Caenorhabditis elegans: one gene and its partner. The protein of the gene in region 1 purifies or fractionates together with the protein of each later gene. This does not show direct contact. Each region holds a gene or a part of one and is shown on either strand. Other genes may lie near its edges.

Region 1 (9,028 bases):
CAGAAGTTCTGCGAAAAGCGATGAAAGGTCTCGGATGTAACAACTCGAAGGTGATCAGCATCCTCTGCCAACGTACCAACTGGCAACGTCAAGAAATCTCCAAGGCATTCAAAGTGATGTACGGAAAAGATTTGATCAAAGAGCTCAAGGGTGAGCTCCATGGAGACTTTGAAGATCTCATTCTTGCGCTGATGGACGCACCGGCAATCTACGACGCCAAGCAGTTGCACCGTGCAATGGAGGGTCTCGGCACGAAAGAATCCGTGCTTATCGAGATTATGACGTCAAGGACTAATGCTCAGATTCAACAAGTTCGTGATGCCTATAAGATGCTCTTCAAGAAGGATTTGGAGAGAGATTTGATCGGTGAAACCAGCGGGCATTTCAAGGTAAACTTTTCGAAATAATTTTAACGACCGTGGCCGAGGAAAATTTAAAAACTCGGCCTCCAAAACTCCAACTTCCATTTTGAGGGTGGAGCTTAACAAACCACGCTCATTTATTGTGTTTAGCAGCATTTTTGAATTCTTCTATGAGCTTCCTGAAATTTTCACATAAAAAAAACATAATTACGACAGTAATTGTGAGCTCCGTCCCTGTATGGGTGGCCGGTCATGACCATTAAATGGGAGGAGCCTAGCACAATTTTCCAAAACTTTTTTGATTAATAGCTGTCCTTTGAATAACGTGCAAAGTTTGCTCCTTTCGAGTACCGTATTTCTTCTATTAATATAGCTGCAATACTATTGTTCGATGGTCTTCCCGCTTGCAATACTAATAGGGAGTGCAAGACTATTAGGGAGTGCAATACTAATTTTCAGAACATTTTTCTGACTTTGAGCTTACTATTTTTTTTCTGAAAAAACTCGAACCTTGTGTGAAAATTCAGAGAATTTGATTGTAATTGCAACAAAAAGGTGTAATAACTTCAATTTCATTGAAATTTTTCCAAAAATTGTTGCACAGTAGGCAAAAAATGTTGTTAAAATCTCAAAATTAGTGAGGTGATTTTGTACCAAAAAAAAATAGACGCAAGACTATTAGGGAGTGCAACACTAATAGGGAGTGCAATACTAATTTTCGGAGGGTGTTCAAGGAGCAATACTAATAGGGAGTGCAAGTCTAATAGGGAGGCTTCTGAACTTCCTGAATAGAAAAAGCTAACCACAAAAATGCTTCATCACCAGAAACGTGAAGCTCTCTCCTTTGAGTAAGCGTGGTTTATTAGCTCCGCCCATTTAATGGTTCAAACTTTAAATAGTAGATTTTCAAAGTTTTTTCTTAGAAAATATCACAATCTCGTATAATTTTCAGCGTCTCCTCGTCTCCTTGTGCGCCGGCGGCCGTGACGAATCCAGCCAAACCGACGGTCTCCGAGCCAACCAAGACGCCCGCCGCCTGCTCCAAGCCGGCGAGAAACGTCTCGGAACGGACGAATCGACGTTCAACGCGATCCTCGCAAGTCAGAACTTCAGTCAACTGCGATTAGTGTTCGAGGAATACCAAAAAGCCTCGAATCACTCAATCGAGAAGGCCATCGAATTCGAGTTCAGCGGTGACATTCGTGACGGACTTCTCGCAGTGATTGCCGTCATCCGTAACAGGCCGGCCTACTTTGCAAAGCTTCTCCATGACAGTATGAAGGGTCTCGGCACGCGTGACAATGACCTGATTAGATTGTGCGTGACACGTGCTGAATACGATATGGGTGACATTCGGAACATGTTCCAATCATTGTACAGAACATCGCTGGAAAATATGATCAAGGGAGACTGCTCGGGAGCTTATAAAGAGGGATTGATCGCTTTGGTTAATGGAAATCGTGGATAATTTCGCTTAATTTTTCTATTTTCCATTTCATTTTTCATTTTTAATAACAACATGCAATCTCAACTTGTACGTGGTGTCAAAGTGTTCCATTTTGATTTGATCTTCGAAAAATGCGGGTGAAGAGACGCAGACTTTTCAACTGATTTCGCATGGTTAAGAGTGTGCTGACGTCACACATTCATGGGGAAAAATTACCGCATTTTTTGTAGATCAAACCTCATTGAGACAAATTGACACCACGTGAACTTGTATTTACCATTTCCCTCTTTTCTCTTATCACACACAAAAAATTACGCATCTGGCTTTTTATCAAAATAATCATTTCTTCTATTCCATTTTTGTAAGGCTTTACTGTAGGTATGCCTGCCTACGAGGCGGCCTGCGCCTTCCCAAAATTCATCCCGAAATTATAATTAGAACACTAAATTCAAAAGCTGTCTAAAGAAATACGCAATTTATTCATGTAATTTAAAGAAGACATAAAATTGAAAAAAAAAAACAAATGTCCCGTTTTGTTTCACACAAGTAATATTCACAGTAGGATATGAGACAAAAAAAACGAAAATAAATGTATATTAAATCGATCAATCAATGATTGGATAGGGTTCTACTGCTACTGCTTCTGCTGCCTTCGGGCTCCAATATTTCTTCTGTCGTCAGTTCTGCCACGCCGTACTGGAAAAAAGGAATTTTAAAACCCAATTTTAGGATATTGAAATATATTTTTTCTAGATTTTCTTTAAATTATTTTTAAACCCGAACCTTTCTAATGCTATCCTCGAAACGCTGTAGAAGCCAGTTCATATCCCGTGATTCATGCTTCTTCTTCTTCACAGATTCCAGCATATTCATCATTGAAGTGTGTCGTTGGCAATTTCGCATACGAAGATATTTCCATTGCTCCTGCGCTTTGCGGATGTTCAGCATGAAATCATCCATCCTTTCCTTATCCTCCGTTCGCTTCCGCAGCAGACGCTTGTTCTCCTTCTCCGTCTCCTTCACGTTGCGATCCATAATCTCGTAGAACTCGTCCTTCTGCTGAAGCTTCCACATGTATTCACGCTTTTTCCTGAAAATTAATAAAATTGAAATAATTTTTTTTCTATTTATTAGTCTCAAAATAGCAATAAAAACAGAATTTCGTCAAGAGATTCTTCAAAAATTTAGAACGGACAAATTTCAGCTAAAATCTCCAATTTTGCCGATTTTCCGTGTCACAGCCAATTTCCGGTCACGGAAAATAGCCAAAATTCAATATTTTAGCCAAAATTAGGAGGGGTTTTTTTTTTGAAATTTTGAGTGATTTCTGTATGAAATTCGCTAATTTGTGCTTATTTCTAAATTTTTGCTAATTTTTCAAAAAGTGTAAGGTTTTTTTCCAGAAAAAAAATTGTAACCATCAAAAACCAAGAATTTAAGCCAAACACTCTTTGGAATTTTTTAAAATAAAAACCTACTTTTCCAGTTCGTGCTGAGCTTGCTCCAGCTGCTCGCGGAGTCCCTTCTCGATCTTCGTGCTGTTGGAGGATTCCACCTCTCGAATTTCGTCCAACTGCACAATCCGGTGGCGGAGCTCATCGTTTTCGGTCAACATATCCTGGAAAAAACTTTAATTTTTTTGAAATTCTTTTTTTTTCTTTAATAATAATTTAGATTTTCGCCGATATCCACCGAATATATAGTGACCAAATCTCACGTTATAATAAGTGCGAAACTCTTCCGCTGCCGCCTCCATCTCCAACGACTTCTTCGTAAGCACCTCGTTGTCCGACTCTTTCTCTCGCAACTGGCTCAACAGCATCTCGCCGGCCTTCTGTACCTTCTTCATCTGCTCATCTTGCTGCTCCACCAGCGCCTTCGTCTTTAGAGTCAGCCACGTCCAAATCCTTTCAAGCATCTCTTCCGAATTGGCACCAGATAGGATTGACTTGAGAAGCTGAGAGATTTTGCGGAAAGCCTCTGCCGTGTGAAACTCTGGATCGCGCAGGCTCTCCTGGAAGCTTTCATGCTCAGCGAGCAACTCCCCAATTTTTTCGATAGTCCGTCGAAGTTTCTCATCTAGGTGCGACGAGCGTCGGGAATCCTGGAGCGATGAGGGAGCTTCGGATACCAGTGACACTTCCGGGCTCACCATGAGCTGTTCTTCCACATCCGTTTGCATCCAGGCATCCGTCGTTGCAGGAGAAGGATCTGTCTGCGAAGGAAAGTCTCGGAACGATCCTGAAATGATCTTTCCAGGATAAGGTTCCAACTCCAGCAAGCGTTGTTTGTAGCTCTCGATATCCTCGTGCATCTGACCGGTGACTGCATAGAATTGATTCCGAGCATTGATTTCAAACGTCTCATGCTCCTCTCTCGCCTTCGCCAGTTTCCGCGTTAAATCAGCCAGCTCCAAATCCTTGCTACGAGCTTCCATCTCCATAGCCTCGAGCTTCTCCTTCTGCTCAGCCGTGTCCTTTCTCAGCCTCTCGAGCTCATTGTTCGCCGCCGCCTCTGATCGAATATATCCTTCGATTCTGCCATCCAGGTCGCGTTCCATCTTCATGACTCGCTCCAATTCCAGCTGCAGTAGGTACTCACGGTGCTCGGATTCAGCTAGCTTCTGCTGAAGCTGGCCAACGGAGCCAGCTTCCGACGACTGATGAGCTAGCTGTTGGCGGAGATGATCGATTTCTCGCTTTCCCTTCTGAACTTCTTCAAGCAGTTCCGCCGAGTCTTGAGCTTCTCGGAGGAGCTGAAAAATTGGATTTTTGTGATTTTAATTGAAAAATTTTTCATCAGGTTTTCACATTTTTATATCAATTTCACCTGGAAATTCGAGATTTCTAATGAGCTTCATTGCAAAATATTTCAGTTAAAAAAATTATTTTTTATTTTTCTAGCTGAAAATTCGAGATTTTTCCATTTTTAGTTCACTTTTTATATTAAAAAAAAATTATACAGTATCTATTTTTTCAGTTTAAACTGCAGCTCCAGTGCAGTTTCTAAGCTCCAACTGCAGTTTCTAAGCTCCAATTTTAAAGCTTTTTCCGTGTAAAGATCGGAAAAGAGTTTTTATTTATAATTTTACAAAATTTACCTTCTGATTCTGCTCATCAAGCCTGGTGACATCCGCATCCTGCTTCTTCCTCCGCCTCTTCTCCTCCGAAATCTTCTCGTTGAGCCCAGCGACTTGATGTTGAGAGTTGCGAAGCTTCACGGCCATCTCATCCAGCTCATTCTTCAGGTTAATCTCACTTTCAAGGAGCACTTGCTTCGACTCAGACAGATACACGTTCTCCTTCACAATCGTCTTATTTTCTTTCTGTATCTTCTCCAACTGCTCAATGGCCTCCTTCTCTTTTTCCGAAACTTTTTCTAAACGCTTCTCGAGCTCCGCCATCTGACCCTCGTGCTCCTTTCTCAAATCTTCCATGTCTTTCTCCAGCTGCAGTTTCAACTCCTTCTGTCGATCAAGCTCGGCTTCAAGTTCTCCTAGCATCTCCTGTAGCTGCTCCACCTTCTCCCAAGCCTCCTTCCTCTGCTTCTCCAAGTGCTCTCCCTGAACTTTCGCCTCGTCAAGCTCGAAATCGTGCGTATTCTTGTCCTCCAGAAGCTTCCGATTCTCCGCTTGAACCTCTTCCAGTTCCTTACGCTTCTTGTTGAGCCTTGACTGGAGCTCTTCGATCTTTCCTTCGTACTTCACAAGCTTCTCCTGACTAGTCTTGAGCTTCTTCTCCAAATCTGCACGCAGCTTGTTCTCATCTTGCTCGAACTGAGCTTTCAGCTTCTCATAATCGAAAAGGCGATTTTCCAGATCGGATTTCTTCTTGCCAATGACCTCGATCTCCGAGTGTAGCTGATCCACTTCCTGAAAAAATAAAATATTTGAAATTTCAACAATTACGCGGAAGTTTAGGGATTTTTGGAACGAAAAACTGAAATATTTCACAAAAAAAACGAAAAAATCAGCAGTTTTTGTCATTTTCAAAACTTTTAAATTATTATTCTGGACGAAAAAAAACATTTTTGTAGTTTTTCAGAATTTCCTGACTCTTTTAATAGTATAATATCCGGCAATTTTCAGATTTTTCAATGAAAAATCCTCTTTTTTTAACTGAAATTTGCATAATTTTACAATTTTTACAAAATTTTCGACGGTTTTCACAAGTTTTCTACCAATTTACGTACAATCTGCAAGTTCGCGTTGACCACATTGACATGATCATCCTTATCAGTCTGAATGTTGGCGTCCATCTTCTCAGTGTCCACTTGGATGGTCGCGGTGGCCGTGAACACTTTCGCAGGTGGTTTGGAGTCGCTTATCAGCATCTGGAATGTGAGAAATGAAGATTTTAATCGATTTTTAATTTTTAAATGGCATATTTTATTAGTTTTCCACGTACATTTTCCATTTTAGCCTCCATAATCGTGCGATCTTCATCATTTTTGATAAATGACAAGAGCTCTTTTTTTATTTGTTCACTGGATTTTACTGTAATCGGATCCAAATCGGGCTTCTCATCAAACACAAGCCTTGGGATCACTGGAATGACATTCTCTTTATCCACCAAATCCATCCTTCTCGATTCCTCACGCAGCGAGCAATTCTCCTCTCGAAGTGACTCGTTTTCACCGCGAAGAGACTCATTTTGATCTCGGAGCAACGAATTCGCCCGATCCTTTTTCTTGAGCTCTTTCGACGCCTCCAGTAGAGATTTAACACCGTCTAAAGGGTACACAGGATATGTTAATTGATAGAATTGCCTTGGAACCGTACCGAGAACAAAATGCGAATCGTTTTCAATTGTGTCGGAGCCCGTCGACTCGATGATCGAGAGATCGTTTCGGAAAGTCGCGAAATTTTCCTTCATCGATCGGCTTTTGTTGCCGCGAATCGGCGTCGATGTCAACGGGTATAGCTGTGCATTGTTCGGCGAATTGGGTCGGGACTGAAAATAAATTATATAAATATATACAAATTTAGCTGAAAACTAGGCTTAAAATCAACTCACCGTGGATGGAATTTCATCTCGAGGCGTCGGATACCCACTGTCTGTCGGTGGAATTTCTCCCATTATCTGCAAAGTCTGATAGATCGCGGGAGAAATTTATAATATTCAAAGCTCGAGCCAAAACGTGTGAACACCGTGACGCGCAACTGCGTACACTGCGTAAGTGTGCAACAGTTAAATGGTAAACGGTAATTATAATAACAAAAGAGGATAAAGACCGGGCCAAGAGGGAAGACGAACAAAAAGGGACACTCAATATTCCCTTTTTGTGCGTCTTCTCTTCTGGTTCGGTCTGCAAAGATGCAATTTCCGACAAAAAATATTGTTCTTTTGAAGAAAAACCGCAAGAACGAGCGCCCCGTATGTAAATTCCGCTTTAAAACTTTGAGAATGAAAAATTAATTTAATTTAATTTGAAATTTTGAACTAAAAAATCATGCTCCGCAAACACCGCGACGCACAATTGCAGATACTACTGTAGTTGGTACGAGACCCGAGACCCGAAGAACTCGGGGAATGTCCAATTGGGGAGACCCGAAGAACTCGGGGGATGTCCAATTGGGGGGATTACCAACTCGGGGGATTGGCCCCGCCCACAGAACCGTGGCTTGCAATACGCCCATTTCTGCAACTGCCGCACGATTTTAAAACTGTATTTTTCTCAATAGAGCGAGAAATAACAAGAAAAAATAATTTTAAAACCGTGCGGAGGTTGCAGAAATGGGCGTATTGTAAGGCACGGTTCTGTGGGCGTGGCCAATCCCCCGAGTTGGGAATCCACCCAGTTGGACATCCTCCGAGTTCCTTCGGGTCTCGAAATTTTGAACTAAAAAATCATGCTCCGCAAACACCGCGACGCACAATTGCAGATACTACTGTAGTTGGTACATTTTGAAATTAATTCGATTAAATTTTTTTTTCGAAAATTGCTTAAATTTACTTTTACCAGTTTCATTTTCTTTGTTTTTTATTTACTTTAACTGAAAAATAACTAAATAGCATTGTTAGACGTGAAATTATGTGATAAAATCAATGTCCACGGCGCCGGAAACCAGTTTGTCACCCAATGAAGGCATAGAACAACACAACAGAAGAGATGAGCACTCGTAACAGTTTTACTACACTAAATATATTCACACAAACACAAAAATGTGATAAAAAATCGTACAGAAAATGTAAAGAAAATAAAATAAGCGGGTTGAACACGATAAGAGAATTTTTGTTGTGCAAACTGAGCTCTTGAAACGAACGAAAGACTGTGGTATGGACATCTTCTATTTACAATCGGCCTAATTTCTAATATTCGTACTCTCCAAAATCGTCGTCGTGAACTGAATCATCTCTGTAAATATTAACTGTAATAGGATCTTGGAAAAATTATTTATTTATTTAATAAAATATATAACTTTTTGGTAACATTTCGGCAACTGAAAGGCTGACAAGATCGGAGGAGCAATTAAAGCGGGGTTAGTGGAAGGGGCAATTATGGTTTCAGGAAATCATGCACAGGGTCCCAATGTGGGCGGCGAGAATGGAACAATCAATGGACGGGGAATCGAATTAGAAAAAAAGATTCTTAAAGGACAACACAACACCTACTGCTTGGGCCGTGACGGCTGAGAAGACTGGAATACTGACGAGGAGGACATTAGGTTCTGAATGTACTGGCCGAGCACTTGATTTTCCGATCTCAACTTCAAACTCTCTTCCTTGACAGATTCGACGCGTTGTGAGAGATCTAAAATTTAAAAAATCAATATAGAAAAAGTGAAATTTCTGTGAATTACCATCCAAAGTATTCTGAAGTTCCAGCACTTGTGTGATCATCCGGGCTTTCTCTTCTGGATCCTCTGGTGGTTCCTCCTTCGGAAGTGGCTGGGCAGCTCTCGGAGTTTTCCCACCGCTAATTATAGTTACAGTGTCGTCTGGAAAATTAAACAATATTTTAAAAAAAGTTTATTTTCAGGAAATTCAATTTCAGAACACTTACCATCATCAGCGAGAGGAATATCATCTTGCTCGGTTTTCTGGCTCATCGTAATACTCGTTGTAACAGAAGTAGGGCTTAGAAGACGTACTGCGGAGCCAGCGGCTAGTGGACAATCGAAAAATCAATAAACGAGAGATGTGCGGCGAGCGTGAGAGACGCAGAGAATTGTCTATCGCCAACTTGGCAATGCAAATGCGCTCCGATGTATTCTTCG
Region 2 (6,333 bases), on another chromosome or scaffold:
TTCCTGGTATGGCTAACATACAATACCCATTTATCATTTCCAGTAATGATATCTTTAACCCAGTCCGTTGTTCGTTTCCTAGTGAGCAGCGAAAGAGAGAGGTCACAAAGCAATTTTTCTGAGAATCGGACAATTTGTGAGGAACGAGTTGACCGAACTTTTCTATCTTTCCGGTTTTTTGGAGATGGTTGATGATGATTCTTTGGGGATGCTTGAGAGTCGCAGAAAGTTCGCGTGACGTTGCTCTTGAATCATCTTCCAGGGCTCTCGAAATATCCTCATCGATATCCAAACGAGAGCGATCTTATCTTGGTTTATCATCGAGATGGTAGTTCTTTTTCGTGAACTTTTCGAACCAAAACTTCATGGTATTGTAGGTGACAGAGTTCTTGCCTAACACTACACACATGTTACGACGAGCTTCGTTGCAATTGCAGCTTTGGGGGAACTCGTACAGAAAAACCCCTCGGAGGGCGTGACGTTCGGCGAGCAAATTCTCGGTCATTTTGAACAGCACCGAAAAGTTTTTTCAAATATATTAAACATGCACATTACGCACTGTGCAAATAAAAAAACAGAATTGGAAAAAAATAAATTAACGCTGAGCAATGAAGAAACAAACAAATTTTGCAAAGACTTTTTGACCAACCTAATATTTTTTTGAATCGCCAAAATTCCTGAAATTCCAAATTAGTTATGAAATTTACTTTATTGGAAACTTTGGTCTTCTAAAAATATTGTCTCACGTCCGGAAATGCCTCCAAAAAGTGGGTCTCAACACGACACTTTATTGTAAAATGTGTACGCAAAAACTATGAAAAATCTATGCCAATTTTGAAACTACAGTACTCTTTAAAGGCGCATGAGTTTTCGGATATAACAAAAGCCTGCCGTTTCGAGACCAGACACCTTATTTTTGCAGCTGAAATCTCAAATTTTCAGATTAGGATAACATTTCGAAATTTCATAAGTTTCCATAGCAATTGCAGATTCGTGGCGGGACCCAGCGTCGTTGTGAAAAACAAAATGAAAGGCACAAAAGTATTCACGGTGTGTGAGTGGAACTGAATCATTGGGTAATCCCAAAGTTATCCGTTTTTGTTTCAATTCGAGATAGTATAGAAGATGAAGTGACGCAGACAGGCTTTGTGTCGATGACGAATTGTATGTTGAAATGGAGAAGAAACACGGTTTCAAATACGGGCGGTAGGCACAAAAAAACAACAAGAAGAAGGAGACAATTCGTGTCGGGAACAGGGAAAGCTTATTGTTTTAGGGTGGCGACCAGTATTCAATCGGAAATCAGAATTCAACACGGATTAGGAATTAGGAGAAATTGAGACGACGACGGAAGCATCAGACAAAAACACGACCAAGAGTACACAAATGTACCCGAACGAGATTGAAGCAAGAGAAACAAGGTCAGAGAAATTTGGGGGAAGATGGTCAAGAGTAATTATGAATTGAAAAGAGAAAATTCATAAAAAGTAGCAGGTGGTGTGTTACCTTCTCCTTATTCTTCTGTTTCTTCATATTTTCCTGCTCACTTAGAAGATCTCGAGGCCATTTTTGACAGCTCCGAGACCTCCACCACCGGTGTTTATTGACTTTCCGTGTGTGTGTGTGTGGGATCACTGACAGCGCATTGCCACGTCACGTTGGCGATCTGATCAGGGAACAAAACACGTGTCATTAAAATGATCGAAAGATCAGCTGGGATTTTCGGGGGCTCGCGAGAGCTTTCAGATGATTTTAGGCGAAAAGTTGTAAATTTTAGCGATTTTTGCCCAGAAAGAAGTCTCGCAACGAAAATCGGCAACTTTCCGCTAAAAATACCGTTTCTGGTCTCGAAACGACAAATCTTTGTTAAACACAAAATTGTGCGCGCCTTTAAGGAGTACTGTAGTTTCAAACTTTTTTTGGGGTTACTGTAATTCCTAAAGGCGCACACTCGATTTTAAAATATTTCGTTCTTAGTGAGAGTCCTAAAATTAATATCTGGCTTTACAAAAAGCTTTTTTCAATCTTTCAAAAACAATCAATAAAAATACCGTAACCCTTTAAAGGTACACGTCTGCCAAAATAAAAATGTTTAGACTACAGTAACCAAGCCGTAAAGGCGCATTCCATAAATTTTTGTTGAATTGGAAAATGTTATGCGCCTTTAAAGAGTACTGTAATTCGAATTTGGGGAATTTTCATCGATTTTTGATAGTTTTTTTTTTCAAAAAAAATTATATTCGATGAAAACTTCGTAACAACAAAATTTGTCGCGTCGAGACCATTTACCGTATTTTTGATGCAAAAATCGCCAAATTTCGCGTATGTATAATATTATAAGTAAATTTTCAAACCGAACACCTTAAGAATAAAATATTAAAAGTTCACACATGAGCTGGTGACCCCACGAAAAGTTCTCCCCTATTCAATGAAAAACGTGCGAACAATGTGCATAATCTAGTGCAAACACTCGAGAACACTATACTCTCTTGGCATCGCCCACCACCCGAATTCTGTAGAAGAAACTTAACGGAAAGAACTTTTAAAAAACTGGAAAGAAACGAAGAATCTATATACTTTTCCGTCATTTTCACAGTTACATAATGATAATTAGCTTGCGCTAGCTAGTAGCCCTATTGCAGTGAAACTTCGTAATGAATAAGATGAAGAATGCTAGTGGGGAGGGTAGGCAACAGGGGGTCTTGTGTATATAAATTACATAATGGACGGAGCGGATGAGCGAAAGATGTCTATGCTTATTTTATACTTTGAAAAGCAAACAATTGAGAGGTGAATTGGGGAGAGATTTACAGGAAACTGATGTATGTAATTCAAACCTATTTGGTGGTTTTTATAGAAAATAATTTAGTGGGATTGCTCATGACACAAGAATGGAGTTGAAAAATATGGCAATATAAATAAATACACAATATACACATTATATAAATTATGGAAATTTAAAGATCTTCTAGCAGAATGCGACACGATCGATAAACTCCATTTCGTTCATGCCCAGCTCGATATTGTCCAGTGATGCCGCGTGGATTGCAGCAGTCACCGCAGAAACTTCCTTCTTTCGGTAGAGCTCGACGCGTTCGAATCCTGTATCAGAGATCGAGTCGAGGAAGCCGCTCATCAGATTTTTATAAGAATCGAACATTCGTCCGAAGAGCAGAATTTTCAGTGTTTTCTCTTTCTCAGTGGGGGGATATTGACGCAAGACGTTTACAACGAGATTTCCGAGTGTGATTCCGGCGTTGTGGAAGACTTCGGCGATTACAGGGAGCTGTTCATACTCTTCCACTTGCTCATTTTGCTCTTCCTCTTCTCCCTCTTCCTGTTTTGTAGTGTCCACGTCGCCAATCATATTATCTGAAAAAAACATGACTTGAAATAAATATTTGATTTTTTTTGGATTTTATTTGTTGATATTTTGACAAAAATTGATTTTTTGAATTTTTAAAAAAATATTTTAACGAAAAATTTATTTTTTTGAATTTATTTAAAAAATATTTTGACGAAAAATTGATTTTTTTTGAATTTTTAAAAAATAGTTTGGCAAAACATAGATTTTTTGAATTAAAACAAAATATTTTAACGAAAAATTGATTTTTTTTAATTTTTAAAAAAATATTCTGTCGAAAAATTGATTTTTTAAAAAGTTTTTTTGATGTGACGAAAATTTTTATTGTGACGAAAATTGATTTTTTGAATAAAAAAAATATTTTTACGAAAGATTGATTCTTTGAATTTAAAAAAAAAATCCTCGGGGAGTACACGAGCTGCAAAATCAGTAGAGTAAACCGGAGTTTTTACTTACGTCTGGCCAACTTTTCGGTGAACAGCGCCAGACGATGCTTATAATAATTGGAGAAGCATATTTCATTCATTTGAAGCAGGTCTCGGTCATTCTTCATTGAAAATACCGTCTTGAACACGTCTTTTATTTTGTCCGTCACACTGCTCTTGTTGCCTCGGCTCATCATGTTCTCCGTGCCACGCTCAACGTCATTGACAAACATCTGGAAGGATGTACGTCCACACCAGTAGGCACCTCCATGTCCAATCATGCCTGGTGTGATGTCGGGCTTCTTCATTGTACCGTCCTTTAAGACCAGTCTGCAGAATGCGTCGACGCCGGCTTGAAGAGCAATTCCTTCTTAATAAAAATGTTGAATTTAATTTATTTTTCTCAAGATTCGAAATTAAATTTACCTTCTCCTTTCTGGAAATGAGCCGGTGCAACTGCGTCGATTTCGGACATAACATGGAAATCTTCACAGATTCTCTTCTCAGGCGCCACGGAAACATATTTATTCCGGAAAAAAGTCACGAGATCGTCGACTTTATCACCCCGATCAGTCTGGGCGAACAGGACGACGACGCGTCGAATGACGCCCTTCTCTCTCCAATTGTCCTTGCCAGTCGCTTTTCTCATCGCAGCTTCGACGCCTGAAGCGATCGTCTCCGAAGCTACTCTGGGCTTGAAGTAGTGAAGATCAGTTCCGACGACGGTTCTCCAGTAGCGAGTATTCGCTGAATCGATGACGACGATGCGGGTGCAGGCTAAGTTTCCCTCAACTCCGCAGTAGAAATCCTTCAGCGGTTTCGGTGGATCCACTCGAGCTGGAATCTGCATCGGTGGTTTGATGACGTGGATCGTGGTGCTTTTTCGGTTTCCTTTGCCATTTTTTGTCATCGTTGGAACTGAAAAATCGAACGAATAATGTTATATTTAGAAAACTATGAAAAAAACGAAAACTAATTTAACAGCGATTATATTCGACAATTCTGCAAAATAACCCAACATTTTCAACTAAAAATTATCTGAAAATACCATTTATTCCAGTTGAAACACTTGGAAAATGCTCAAAATTGATAATTTGCAACTTCCAGACCATTTTTGAGCATTTCTCCGAATGTTTCAGCTGGAATAAATGATATTATCAGTTAAATCAAGTGGTGCAATAGATCATTTTGTCGAAACGCCGTAAAAACCCCTGAATTGGATAAAAAGCAAATCTGAGTGGAAAACGCCTCGGAAAACCAATTTTTAGCGCTGCAGCGAGGGAAAATAGATCAAATTTGAATGCTAGAATATTTCCCGCATTTTATTTTGCAAAAATTCTGCTTTAATTCTGACAAAACCCGCCTGATCTACAAAAAACCAATAAAATAATTCAAAAATGCAAAATTCTGGCGATGTGCGCAGAAAAGTGGGCGGAGTTTGATTGGCAAACTGGTGCGCAGTTTTTTGAAGTTTTTTTCTTTATTGATTTATAAAAATTTATTCATGAAATATATAATTAAAAATGTACAAATTTGATATAACAAAGTTAAATCCGAAATTTAGCTACAAATTAATCTCCCTCAGCATCTTTTTCTCTACATTCTGCTGCAAGAAAATCTCGTTCCGCTCCTTCGCAGCGAGCACAGCTGCGCCAACCGCAGGTGAATCAGATGGCTCGTACATTACGATTTTCTCGATTCCAGATCCACTCAAAGAAGCCACAAATCCTTGTTGGAGAGCATCCCATGATTGAAAGACTCCTCCGATCTGGACAATGCTGAGAACTTTTCGATCTTCCTGAAAATTCAGAATTAATGTTTTAAAAATTTTAAATTTGATTACATTGGTGAGATACTTTGCCACAGTTCTCACATGTTTTCCGAGAACATCTCCAGCTCTTCTGAAAGCTTCTGCCACAGCCGCATCGTCAGTTCGTTCCGCGAGAGAAACTGTAAAATCGGCAATTTTATGCTTCTCAAATTTAGAGTACAAATAGTCGAGCATTCTAGTTTTATCAGTAATATTATAGTGTTTGAAGAGCAGCTGTTTGATAACATCAGTATTAAAGTTCTCCTCGAACCCGTCTTCCGCGTCGAAAAGCATCTGGATCGCAGTTCGAGCGATCCAAAATGCACTTCCTCCGTCTCCAATTTGATGTCCCCAGCCGCCGGCTCCTTTTACAGATCCGTCACGAATTTTTAGTCGACACGAAGATCCGGTCCCAGCAATCAGTACAATCCCATTTTCCTCTCCTGGAAAATTGGCCAAAAGAGTCATCACAGCGTCGGAAGTCAAGTAGAAGTTTTCCGTGACATTTCCATGATTCTGACGGAAGTAATCAACGAATTTCTTGTTAAATTCCTCATCTTCGGCACCAGAAAGCCCTAGACCGAGAGCCTTGAGATTCTTAATGTCCAGCTTCTCCTTCTCGAAAACTTCCAGAATCCAATCAGCTATTCGTTTGCAAACGATCGTGTGATCCGTCAAAAAGAAATTGGTTCCTTCTGTCGATGAAGTGTATCTCTGATTAGTGTCTGCGTCGA

Evidence for each region.
Region 2: the proteins of sas-7 (region 1) and W06B4.1 fractionate together in Caenorhabditis elegans (co-fractionation; one large-scale study listed by BioGRID). This does not show direct contact.

Annotation. Positions count from the first base shown.
Region 1 is NC_003281.10:10,318,918-10,327,945, reverse strand, and holds sas-7 (Spindle assembly abnormal protein 7), read right to left. Parts: upstream 6,898-9,028; 5' UTR 6,888-6,897; coding exon 6,825-6,887; intron 6,762-6,824; coding exon 6,590-6,761; intron 6,539-6,589; coding exon 6,216-6,538; intron 6,142-6,215; coding exon 6,001-6,141; intron 5,681-6,000; coding exon 4,910-5,680; intron 4,565-4,909; coding exon 3,527-4,564; intron 3,428-3,526; coding exon 3,288-3,427; intron 2,900-3,287; coding exon 2,593-2,899; intron 2,506-2,592; coding exon 2,419-2,505; 3' UTR 2,271-2,418; downstream 1-2,270. Other genes in the region: nex-2 (Annexin), read left to right, coding at 1-389, 1,315-1,830; unc-69 (Short coiled-coil protein homolog), read right to left, coding at 7,948-8,155, 8,424-8,562, 8,612-8,749, 8,815-8,860.
Region 2 is NC_003280.10:4,469,969-4,476,301, reverse strand, and holds W06B4.1 (Lipase_3 domain-containing protein), read right to left. Parts: upstream 4,708-6,333; 5' UTR 4,700-4,707; coding exon 4,216-4,699; intron 4,160-4,215; coding exon 3,821-4,159; intron 3,373-3,820; coding exon 2,969-3,372; 3' UTR 2,748-2,968; downstream 1-2,747. Other genes in the region: W06B4.2 (N-acetyl-D-glucosamine kinase), read right to left, coding at 5,354-5,587, 5,633-6,333.